Linked DNA regions of Kluyveromyces lactis. The protein of the gene in region 2 interacts with the protein of the main gene of each other region in a biochemical or structural test. Links are inferred from orthologs where the notes say so. Each region holds a gene or a part of one and is shown on either strand. Other genes may lie near its edges. The genes, in order: KLLA0_F17545g, KLLA0_C17380g and CDC28.

The links.
Region 1: the proteins of KLLA0_C17380g (region 2) and KLLA0_F17545g form a complex in vitro, tested with the Saccharomyces cerevisiae proteins (2 studies listed by BioGRID). The link is inferred for Kluyveromyces lactis from reciprocal best matches to the Saccharomyces cerevisiae genes SPA2 and EPO1.
Region 3: of the proteins of KLLA0_C17380g (region 2) and CDC28, one has a biochemical effect on the other in vitro, tested with the Saccharomyces cerevisiae proteins (2 studies listed by BioGRID). The link is inferred for Kluyveromyces lactis from reciprocal best matches to the Saccharomyces cerevisiae genes SPA2 and CDC28.

What each region holds. Positions count from the first base shown.
Region 1 is NC_006042.1:1,609,687-1,614,076, forward strand, and holds KLLA0_F17545g (uncharacterized protein), read right to left. Parts: upstream 2,934-4,390; coding exon 153-2,933; downstream 1-152. Other genes in the region: PKR1 (Pkr1p), read right to left, coding at 3,655-4,035.
Region 2 is NC_006039.1:1,523,483-1,527,616, forward strand, and holds the start of KLLA0_C17380g (uncharacterized protein), read left to right. Parts: upstream 1-1,233; coding exon 1,234-4,134. Other genes in the region: KLLA0_C17336g (MCT family MFS transporter), read left to right, coding at 1-441. UniProt on the Saccharomyces cerevisiae protein: Involved in pheromone-induced morphogenesis and efficient mating, perhaps as a cytoskeletal protein.
Region 3 is NC_006038.1:854,718-857,480, forward strand, and holds CDC28 (cyclin-dependent serine/threonine-protein kinase CDC28), read right to left. Parts: upstream 1,498-2,763; coding exon 610-1,497; downstream 1-609. Other genes in the region: IFA38 (ketoreductase), read right to left, coding at 2,082-2,763. UniProt on the Saccharomyces cerevisiae protein: Cyclin-dependent kinase that acts as a master regulator of the mitotic and meiotic cell cycles. Required to drive the G1-S transition. More than 200 substrates have been identified. Substrate specificity is in part regulated by the bound cyclin protein.

The DNA.
Region 1 (4,390 bases), on a different chromosome or scaffold from region 2:
AATTAGATAACAATGTGTTTTCAACGTTTTTTAACATATATATGTATATTTCCCAAATTATATAGGTATATGCTTGACTGGAAAAGAAATCGCAGAAATAACGAGACCTTCAAAATCGGAACGAACCATACATGGATTCTTTTCATTTTGCTTCAAGAATCATGTACTTGCTTCTGCAACTGTTCTATCAGTAGATCTTTGGACTGCAGTTGCGTCTTCAGCTCATTTATTTGAAGGGCGAGTTCGTTAGGAGATGGCTTTATACCATGTTGGTATAATAAATTCTGTTCTTCTGCAATGAAACGTTTGAGCCTTTCTTCGTTCAAATTTTGAATCAACTCAACAATCTTTGACGATTTTTTCCTTAATTCCGTTTCGAAATCCAGTAGAGAAAGAGCCTGAGGTGACTCTGGTTCCTTCGGATTCTTTGATTCTAATTCACTTTCTAATCTACCTTCCCTTGCGATAGACTCGGCTAATTCCGTGGAAACCAATTGTAGCTCTTGCATCAACATCATATTTTGTTTCAAAATATTCAAATACTCTTCAGTGATCAACAGGGGTTGTTTGGGATCCTTTTCAGAAGCAAAAGATGGCTTATATGGCAACGCGGAAATAGGTTCAGCCTTCTGTTTTACATATTCTTTCTCAAGACAAGGCACTTCCTGTATCTCTGTGCTTTCACCAATAATCATCGACTTACGAATTTGCAAAGTTGATCTGTCAAATGTCTTTTCCTTATTACTATATTGGTCGTGGTGATTACCAGCAGATGACGCGGAAAAAAGAGAATGATATGATATTCTACGTTTATCGCTGGATGCACCCGATTTCGCCCTGAAAGTATCATTTAACTGGATTTCGGATCCTTCATCTACTGCCATCGAACTCCTGCTGCTTCTAGCGGACGAAGGTACAGTAGTGAGCGGTCTTTGATCGCCACTCTTCGTCCTTTTGATCTTCATCAAAAAGTTCTTCGCTTTCTGGAAACTGCTGCCTGATTTCTTCAAGCCTTTTTCACCAGAACATGCGATATAGGAATCATGTTTTGATTGTAGTACTTCGTTAGTATTACTATTCCCACTGTCGACCGCCGCATGGGCTTTTGATACAATTGATTCAGTTCTATTGACGTTGTCGCCAAAGTTTCGACTGGAAGAGTTGTCCGAGATTTCAGGATTTAATATTGGTGATAGATCCACGGGAATATTTTGTATCAAGGCGGTGGATGGCCTGAGATTTATGTCATCATTCAAAGAATCTTGCTGGTTGCTTTTCGTTTCCGAGGAATCCACTAGGTCGTATTCCTTTTCCGTTTTTTCCTCCTCGATCTGCAACACTTGTCTTGCGGGTTCACTTAACGTTAATATATTCAATTTCACCAATGAATCAGAATCATATTGCTCATCGCTATGTGAATGATCCTTATTCCCGCTGTAGGTTTGTTGATCTTCTTCTTCCTCGTTAAAGCTAGGAAGAGCCTTGTCTTTTTCAAAGTCCTCATTATCATTCGACAAAGTGGCATGTAGTTGGTATTTCACCGGTGATCTTGGCAGTGATGGTATCTGATTTTGTTCATCGAATGATGCGTTCGAGGGAGTTGTCGGAGAACTTTGTTCAGAAACCCTACCAGAAATGACGCTATTCACACTGGCATATGAAGAGGATGAGCCCGATGCCGCCTTATTCACCAGCTGCTGTGGTTGTGGCGGAGGGGCTAATGAGCTTGTTGCTTGTCTTTCATTGAATACATTATCCTGCGATACATTTTGTTTTGGTTGATAAAATGGTTGCGGATACGATTGAGTTTGCAGGGACATGGCTCTTGGACCAGAGTTTGGACCATATTGGGAGCTACCAGTAACAGGTGGACCTCTTGCCGGCACTGGTCCATTAACTTGACCAGGAAAACCCATGTTACGGGATCCTGTTGGTGACGCGGCATACGGACCTTGATAACCGTTTCTAAACTGTGAATTTCCGTTCATTTGAGTTGGTGGACGTCTGTCAGCAGTTAACGACATTGTGCGTGGGTCATTTGGAGGACCTTGTTGGGGAGGATACCCTGGTCTACCAGCCATCGGCGAAGCCCCCCCTCCCATCAAAGAGTTGAATCTGCTACCGTTTGGAGGCCTAGGGATTCTTGATTGCTGAGGGCCTGCTGGACCCATCATTGTTCCCGGGCCAGAAACACCAGGCCTTACCATAGGACGTTGATGATAATTTTGCAAGGACATTGTTCTAGGACCACCTGGAACTGAGGCACTGAACTGCGCTTGCTGCTGCTGCTGCTTCGCAAGACTGTTAAATGCCATTTTCTTTTGATTCATCATAAGTTTTCTATATTCTATATTGTTCATTGAGTTTGTGTTTCCGGAAGTCACGATGGTCGGTATTATTGGAGAGGTATCATCTAGATGTCCACCGTAACCGTATGCGTGCCCACCATTGTTTCTCATGGAAGAAATATCATTGAATGTAAGGAAAGAGGAATCATGATCCGAAAAGTCTGTATTATCGTCATCCTCATTAGCTTTTTCGTCATATTGACTGTGTCTCTTTTGATTGAGTTTCTTGTATTTACCCTTGAAGAAATTAGAGAAGGAAGCAGTAGAAGAACTCATGGATGATTTCCTACTACTGTCTCCTGGGTAATCAAAATGTGGTCTTGGTTGCATCTGCAGAGATTGTTGTCGAGGCTGTTGCATGTAATTATATGACGAAGGGTTGTAATTGGACTCGTACTGCTGGGCTTGTAACGGAACTACAGGTGGGGCCATGGGGCCTGTATTTCCCTTCTGCTTGTTTATCTGCTGCTCCTTAGTAATATCAATATTCCCTATATCGCTGTGAAGTAACTGGTTCCGCAGCTGGGCCTTGGAAGACATGCCCGCTCCACGTCGTTGATCAAGCGCAGTAACACCGGCATCCATATTCCACGATCAGAAAAGGTTAGAAATAAAGCACAACCTACAAGAAACGAAAAGATGGCTAGTTGTAAAATGAGCTGCACTTACGTATAGAAAAGTTCCTTTAACAATGACAAACAAACAATCTAAGGACTTACCTCTAAGTTGTTATCAAAAGTCCTGATGTACCAAAGAAGCGTTCCAAAATCGGTAGGGAATAAGTCAATTACACTCGTACTGTGGATTGGTTCCTCTGGATTATAAATTCTGCCAGAACCTAGGCTAAATGACTGTACTAGAAAGAGAATAGATAAAAGGAAATACAACCTATTAATAGTGACTAAGTCCAAAACTCAAACTGATTCCTAAATTGTTTGAACAGACCTAAGATTCATTTACTTTCCGTTCATATTTTTTTTTTTTTCTCAAAACGAAATCTGAATGCCATAGAAGTTCCGAGCGAACATGAAATGTATGGATTATGCATGAAACAATAACGAAGAGTGAAAAAGGAAACGGAAGGCAGCTATTTAGGATGTGCCTTTACACAACGTTGTATATAATAGATCGTAGTAATCTGACGAAATAATGGCTTCTGCAACCTTTGTATTTGAATTAAATTTTATATGGTTCCCAAATGTTACAAGTCTATGCAGTGGTTATTGCGTTTAAAAATGATTTTACTTACTGTCCAATGTAGTCTAATCAGAAAGTTGCTCAGGTGAGAGAATGGTTTATCACCAGCTTAAGCTCTTCTTGATTTTGTTTTCCTTTTTTTAGGTGTAGATGATGGTTTAGGATCAGGTTTCGCAACACCCTCTAGATTTATCTCTTCAGAGGGCTTGGAAGGCTCAGTCTTATCAGTCTTTTTAGATTCAGCTGTTTGTAGATCTTCGTTGGTAACAAGCTTTGTGTTTTGTAATTCGTAGATGAACCACGTCACGGTGATCCATAGTAGAGTGGCGATAATCGTTAATGCGATGAAATGGATATTTTTGGTTAAATAGATCTGCGATCCCAACACGCAAAGCAATAGTGCAAACGAGATATGAGTAGCAATGATCAATTGAGGCGATGTTCCTGGTTGGAAAATGCTTTCCCACAGTGCAACAACAAAGTTAGTCATTCTTGAGTGTCTCAGGTGAATTTCGTTTTTTATAGTGGTTGGCAACGGAGGATTATAATATGCTGTACTAGAAATCGATGATGAGCCTGGAGTAGAAATCAGCAAGGTATAGCCAGAATGCAAGTGAACAAGCTTGTAAGTATGAAATGACGACTTCCTATTCTGATCGAGCCGGGTGTATTATGTTATGTCACTGGCAAACGTATGTATATGTATAGAAGAATTTTACTTTTAAAACTTTAATATAGAGATTTTAAGATACAGATTATGTATGTCAAACTTATAATTTACAGACCGATAACAGAGGAATAATGAAGTTAAAGATAAAATGGAATAGAAAAGGGACCACATCAGA
Region 2 (4,134 bases):
GCCATGTGGATCCCATGCAGAAATCTTGCCACTGCCATTGCATTCGGGCTCCTATCCGGTGCATTAATGGGTAGTATCTGGCCATTACAAACAAGTATCATTTCCAGAATCGGTGGTCTTAACAAGTTACCAGCCATTTATTCTTTCACCTGGCCTTGTATCGGCATGATGTCCATTGTTTCCCCAATCATTGGTCTAAGACTACGTAGTAACGATCCAACAGTTGCCAACCAATACGTGAATACAGCCATTTTCTCCGGTATGGGATATTTCGGAGCTGCATTTTTCCTATGGATGATTCGTGGGTATCTAATAGCTCGTGACAAGCTCGCCATGGTTGCAAAGACAGGTCACGACGATGGTGAATTGCATTTACACGTCACGATTCCGGAACTCTTGAAAGGTCTACTGACAATCGGACGACTACCAAGAAAAGTTTGATGTATATAATAGAAAAAGATATACTAAAACAAAACCTAATAATATGCATGTATATTCTAGTATAATTCAATGCTATACTATAATTGCTCACACTCATTGTTGCAATGCTTTCGTAAGTGCGATGCTTAGCATACATTTTGCCCAAATCACCAAGGTATTGGTATCCGAAGAGTTGTATTTCCAACAGAAATCGCTGCTTTAGCTCAGTTGGGAGAGCGTATGACTGAAGTTCATAAGGTCCTGTGTTCGATCCACAGAAGCAGCATTTCTTTTTTATTTTTTTTATCGATTCTCTTTTCTTCTCATCACGTGAAAGAAAACGCCAAACTTTCAATAAAATTACGCGTTATCACGAAGAACGAGGTGTAGTAAGAACGCTTTTTTTCTTTTGGCTGAAAAAACGATGAGTTCTTAGGTATGGAAATTGAAATATTGGAATTAGAATCTTGTTTCAATTCGAATTAAACAGTGGATTAACTCTTCTTCATGAAAGAAAGTCAATTGTATAGAATCAAGTATTCATCATTACGAAATAAGTGCGAGTTGTTGTGAATCAGCGGTAGCGGTTTGGTAAAGACGATACAAGTCTTAAAAGGAGAAGGCCGTCAATTATTTAAACTTGGGAAAGTATCGAATTGAGTTATTTACAGACACACTGGTTTCTTCGATTTCACTTCCCTTTTTTGACCATTATACTTGAAACGAGTGTCCTCAGTGACAATTGCAATTGACATTAATACGTGTTCTTAATTGACCATTGTTTGATAATTTGTTTTCATTTTACCGTTCCAAATGAAAGAGGGTGCTAAGGAACTGAAATATGCACAAAAAGTGCAGATCCATAATTATTATGTTGCTTTAAAACAATTCTTTGAGGTTACCGGTGGTAGCCATGATAGATCAATGACATCGCGTGCTCAGAAAGCACGTTCAAAGCTGTTAAAACTTTCTTCGTCACAGTTTTTCGAGTTGAGTACTGACGTCAGCGACGAATTGCAAAGACGAATTGATGAATCACAGCCACAACATGACTATTTAGTTCCTAATGAAAGTTTCCATGCAAAGAGGAACCAGGCAAGACAAAAATTGGCGAACTTATCCAATGCGAGATTTAATGATTTGGTCGATGATATTCTTTTCGAAATCAGAAGACGTGGGTTTGACACGTTACCTGAACCAGAAGAAGCAGATTATCAGGAATTCCCAAATGCTGATACTGATGAAGATTTTAATTCGAATGACAAGGCAGAGGTCTCCTCTCCTGCATTACACGTACTTGATTCTAAGCCATCGCCAATTGTACCTAGCAGTATAAATAATACGTCGGTGGAAAAATTACCAGAAGATGAGAATTCTGCACTTAATGCAACTTTGCAGACTTCTACAGTCATTCCAAAGACAGCATCAATCGACTGGAGTTCAGATGAAGAGGATCACAAACCAGAAGCTGATGAGAAGGAATTAGCTAGTGAAGACAATGACGTTATTAAGATAGATAGAGCGTTTTCACTAAATCAGTCCCCGGTCATTATTCCAGATGAAACACAAAGCCCACCTCAACCTACAGCTTCCTCACCTGTGGGAAATAGAAGTCCGATTTCCATAGATGACCATTTCACGTTCTCAGAGAGACCGTTATCACAATCCAGTGAGGCTAGAACTCCATTGGCTCAAACTGCTGCCACTACAGCAATGGCTGCAAGTGCTGGGTTGTCGCCTTTCACCAGTAATAAAAATAAAATGGGATCCTTGTCTCAATCGGTAGAACGTAACAAAGATCGTGATATAGAGCTATTAGTTCTGGAAGGGAATAAGTTGGACAGTACCATTACAACTTTGGAGAGAGAAAAATCAGAACTTTTGAATCAATTAGATGAATTGAAGACCAATAATCAACGATTAACAGAAGAAGTTCAGCAATTGAAACAGAATGCCGACCAATCAAGTACTACTAAAGCTCTAGATAGTAATTTCCAAAAGGGAATGTCCGAAATGACTACTCAACTAAATCAACTGTCAATAGAAAACGAAGAACTCAAACAAGAAAAACTAGAACTTCAGCTGCAATTGAAAAATATACAGTCTCCAGTTAAATCGATTGACGGTAAATCAGGGAAGGATGCTGCCTATTGGAAATCAAAGTATGAAGACGCTTTTGCTGAAAAACCTGTCAGAACAAGCTCTTCTTCTATGGCCCCCATTTCAAACAAGCAACTTTTCCCTGAAACTAGTATAATACCGTCAAATCTCATCGACGACTTGGATTCCAAGTTATCACAAATACTAAGCCTCATTGTGTCACCTGAACCTCCAGTTTTGTTTTTATTCGAGAACATTGCTTCCATTTCAGAATATTGTTCAAAAATTTTAACTTTAGTTCACTCCCCAGATACAAAGACCATGAGACTAGTGTTAGAGAACACAATATCACATGCTATCACATCTGTGCGTTACTTCAGCAGCTATAAAACTCCATTATCAAGAGTTATTCTTGAAAATTCTGTTTCAGAAATCTCATTTGCAATCTATGATTTGGTTAAGACGGTAAATGGCGGATCCAATAACGATGAAATATTCACATCAAATAAATCTGGTGATCAACTGGATAGTCCACTTGGCCTCTCCATGCAAAATAGACAAACCTCGAATAACTTTGCTAAAGGTTTACACGAGGGAAGTGTTTTAGACAAACCATCACTTCTTCCTTCTCGGGCTGATAGCGTTGAAATGTCTCCGGTCAAACCTTTGAAAATTACCCAGAAAAAAAATACCGACGACGCGTCATCAAGGCCTGTTTCAGTTAGAAAGCCCTCTGGAACTGGCTTATTTACAGCAATGCTTAATGGGGGTATGAAGAAAGATAACGCATCAAAGAAATCCAAGAATATATTGCAGTTAGAATTACCTCTGGATAACAATTCCAAATCGGAAAGCAATGCTCCTATAATCGAACGCAGAGAATTGAAGACCATTGATGCAATTAAGTCTGCTTCAGCCAGCAATTCACTTCTACCTACTTCGCCACTTGCCAAAAAATCATCAGCAGTTGTTCCTTCTGACTTTAAAGACCCAAATCCTTTTGAGTTATCATCTCCAGAAAAGGGAAAGCTATTGCAAAATATTAATTCTGACATATACAACAGCAATGATGAAGAAACTGAAAGCGAAAGTGTAGAGGAGGAGGACGATGGGAATTCTACATATGAAGTGTTAAGACAAACCATGAAGCAAAAGCATCTACAAGAAGAAAACGGAACCAACGAAGAAAAAAATTTGAAAGGAATTTTTTCGCCAGTGGTACATCCACAACCTATTGAAGTTTCAACAGAGGATGTCGACTTAAATGAGAAGTCATTCAATTTTGAATCTGAAGAAAATGCTAAATCTGAATCTGAATCTGTACCTTCGATAACTGTAAACAAAAAGAATATAAAACTCGTTCCTATCCCTGCCGTTACTCCAACTTTGAAACAAAAAGAGCCATCCCCATCACCTACTGCCGAATTGGTTATTTCTCCATTAAGGCCTATAGTAACTGCTTCTGATAATTCAAAAGTTAATGACGATCAGAAGGCCGTCGATGCCAACAAAAGCGAGTCAGAAACTAAAGAAATCGCAGAACAATCAGAAACTGGTGAAACTGACGACGACATTGAATTTGACGTTGATGCGTTTGACATTGAAAATCCTGAC
Region 3 (2,763 bases), on a different chromosome or scaffold from region 2:
ATACATGATAGATAGTTTGTACGGTTTTTCTGGGAATGGGAATTAATCTCGAAGGTTGCAATGGAAAATTTGTAGATTTTGTTTTCGGATGGCAATCAGTAGCAATATGGGGGGATGTGAATAGAGAGAGAGAAGGTATGGGTTGAGTTGAGAGACATTACGTCAATTGAGCTGTCTCTTACCAGGCCTCGTCTTTAATTTCTTCAGGGATTCGGTCGGAATAATGGACAGACATATTAGCGATAGAGAGGGGATGTCGAGGATAGGTGACTAGGTAGATTTGCGTTCAGCCAAACTAGCAATGGCGTAACGTTAACGAAGAGCCCCAGGCCTAGGGGAGGGGGGCGGGTTTCAATTTGCTTCGGTTTTTCTTGCTCTTAGTTCTTTCTTTTTGGGCGCATTGCTGTGGCACAGGCAAGGAAATCAAGGCCCGTTTTTTTTTTGTTTTTGTGGTATGTTTGCAGCATCTCTCGAAGGGCTGTTGGATGGGACAAAAAGAAATGGAATGTGGAGTTCCGGGTAATATAAGTCACGTGAATACACGTGACTGGTATTGTTTTTATTATATATCATATACATGAATATACGCGCCTCCTGTCACCAACACTCTCACTCCTCCTTGAAGTACGGGTGTTGTACTGCTCTTTTGGCGCTAATGCGGTGGATTGGATCGTAGGTGATCAATTTGTCCAAGAGATCGATACCGTTTGCATCTAGCGATGGAATTACCTCGGATAAATTACGACGGTTCCATTTAGGGAATGTAGTCTTGAAATCCGGTAGATAAATAATATCCGGCCATGTTCTCTCGTTTGGTGTGCCTAACACTCGGAATATCTTGAAGATCTGATCAATTTCACTGTCTCCGCTGAATAACGGTTTCCTGTTGCACATCTCGGCAAATATACAGCCAATGGACCATACATCGACCCCTGTACTGTACTGTTTCCCACCTAATAACACTTCTGGTGCCCTATACCATAAAGTGACGATCTCATGGGTGTACGCTCTCAAGGGGACACCGAATGCACGTGCAAGGCCGAAATCTCCCAACTTCAAGTTCCCATCTCTGTTGATCAATAGATTCTGCGGCTTCAAATCACGATGTATGATCCTATGAGCATGGCAATAAGCAATTCCCTTGCACAATTGCATCATAAACTTCTTTATAATGTTGCCTCCCAATGGCTGGTCCTTGGGGATCGATTCCATGTATCTTTTCAAATCAAGATCCAAAAATTCGAACACTAGATATAACTTGTGCGCGTCCGAGTGCACGATGTCATATAATCTGACAATGTTGTCATCCTTCAGTTCCTTCAATAATGAAATCTCACGTATCGCAGTACTGGGAACACCTTCGTCTTCAGATTCTAATCTGATCTTTTTCATTGCTACCACTCGATTCTGGTGACGCAAATCAACCGCTTTGTAAACAACACCATAAGTACCTTCTCCGACTTTCTCAAGTCTCTTGTAGTTTGTTAATTCGGACATCCTGGTATAGGGTGGATTTCTTGTATGATGCGACCTTGCTGTTCTGTTTCTTTACTACTTTCAAGTTTTAGGTAGGTACAGATTGTTCTCTTTTGCAGCAGTATATTCAGATCAAGTAAAATTTGCTGTGCTCGCGTATAAATATGCGTCAAATCAAATAATCAACTATCACTCAGTGCTTATGGCTCTAATATTACCCTGGTATGTGCCTTCTTTCTAACAGATTAACGTTGCCTTAATACTATATTAATATCTTCGAAATTGTGTTTGTATTTTCTTCGTTTTAAGGTCAGAAGGTCAATAATGAGCTTTACGTGTAATTGAAAAGAAAGAAAGGTTTGGAATTGTAAGATGAACGCAGGGATTTTGTAACGTATAGGGCATTGCTGAACGGTTTTTTCAGTATACTTTCATGTTACAGAATATTTAACACAGAAACTTACAAAATTTATACACTTCTACAGGTTCCAATAATTATGGTTTCTTTGTCAGGATATCGCACAATAATCAAACGTTACTACAACAAATCTATTTAAACCTGCTCCTTATATCAAAACAAACTAATATTTTGGAGACAACTCTTTTTATTGCTTCTTGGCTTGTCTTTCAGCCTTTTTCAAAGCTCTCTTTCTGATACTCAAGTGGAAGGAATAATTAATTGAATTAGCAATCTTAGAGTACACACCGACGGTGTTCTCGATAATGAAATGGTATAATGCATGAGACCAATACGGCGTGGAGGTTGCAAAACGCTCTTGGGCACCACAGCGTTTGCCAATGGAGTTCAATGTGGATCTCACGAAAGCCTTTGGAGAAGGGATCAATGCACTTGATCTTCTAATCTTAGACATTGCACTGGTAACTAAGTAAGATAACACTAACTCAACATCGATAGAATCGCTAGATAATTCACCAGCTAGGGCGTTAGACCAACTTTGTAAAAATGCCTTGGAACCACTGTATGTAGCTAAGAATGGGGTAGGTAGCAGACCACCAAAGGAACCCATTGTCAAGATTAGACCACGACATTTCAACGTCTTAACGCTTGCTTTTAATTGTGGTAACAAAGTTTGTGTGATCATTAATGTCGCAGTATTGTTGATAGTAATTATATCTCTCAATTCAGATTCTTCGGTTTGATCAAATGGTACTGGAATCGAATGAGACTTACCAACATTATTGATCAAAACAGTTACAGGTAAACCCGACGCAACTTCTCTAATTAAAGTATAGTTCTCCTTGCTATCAGAACTGACATCAATGGCT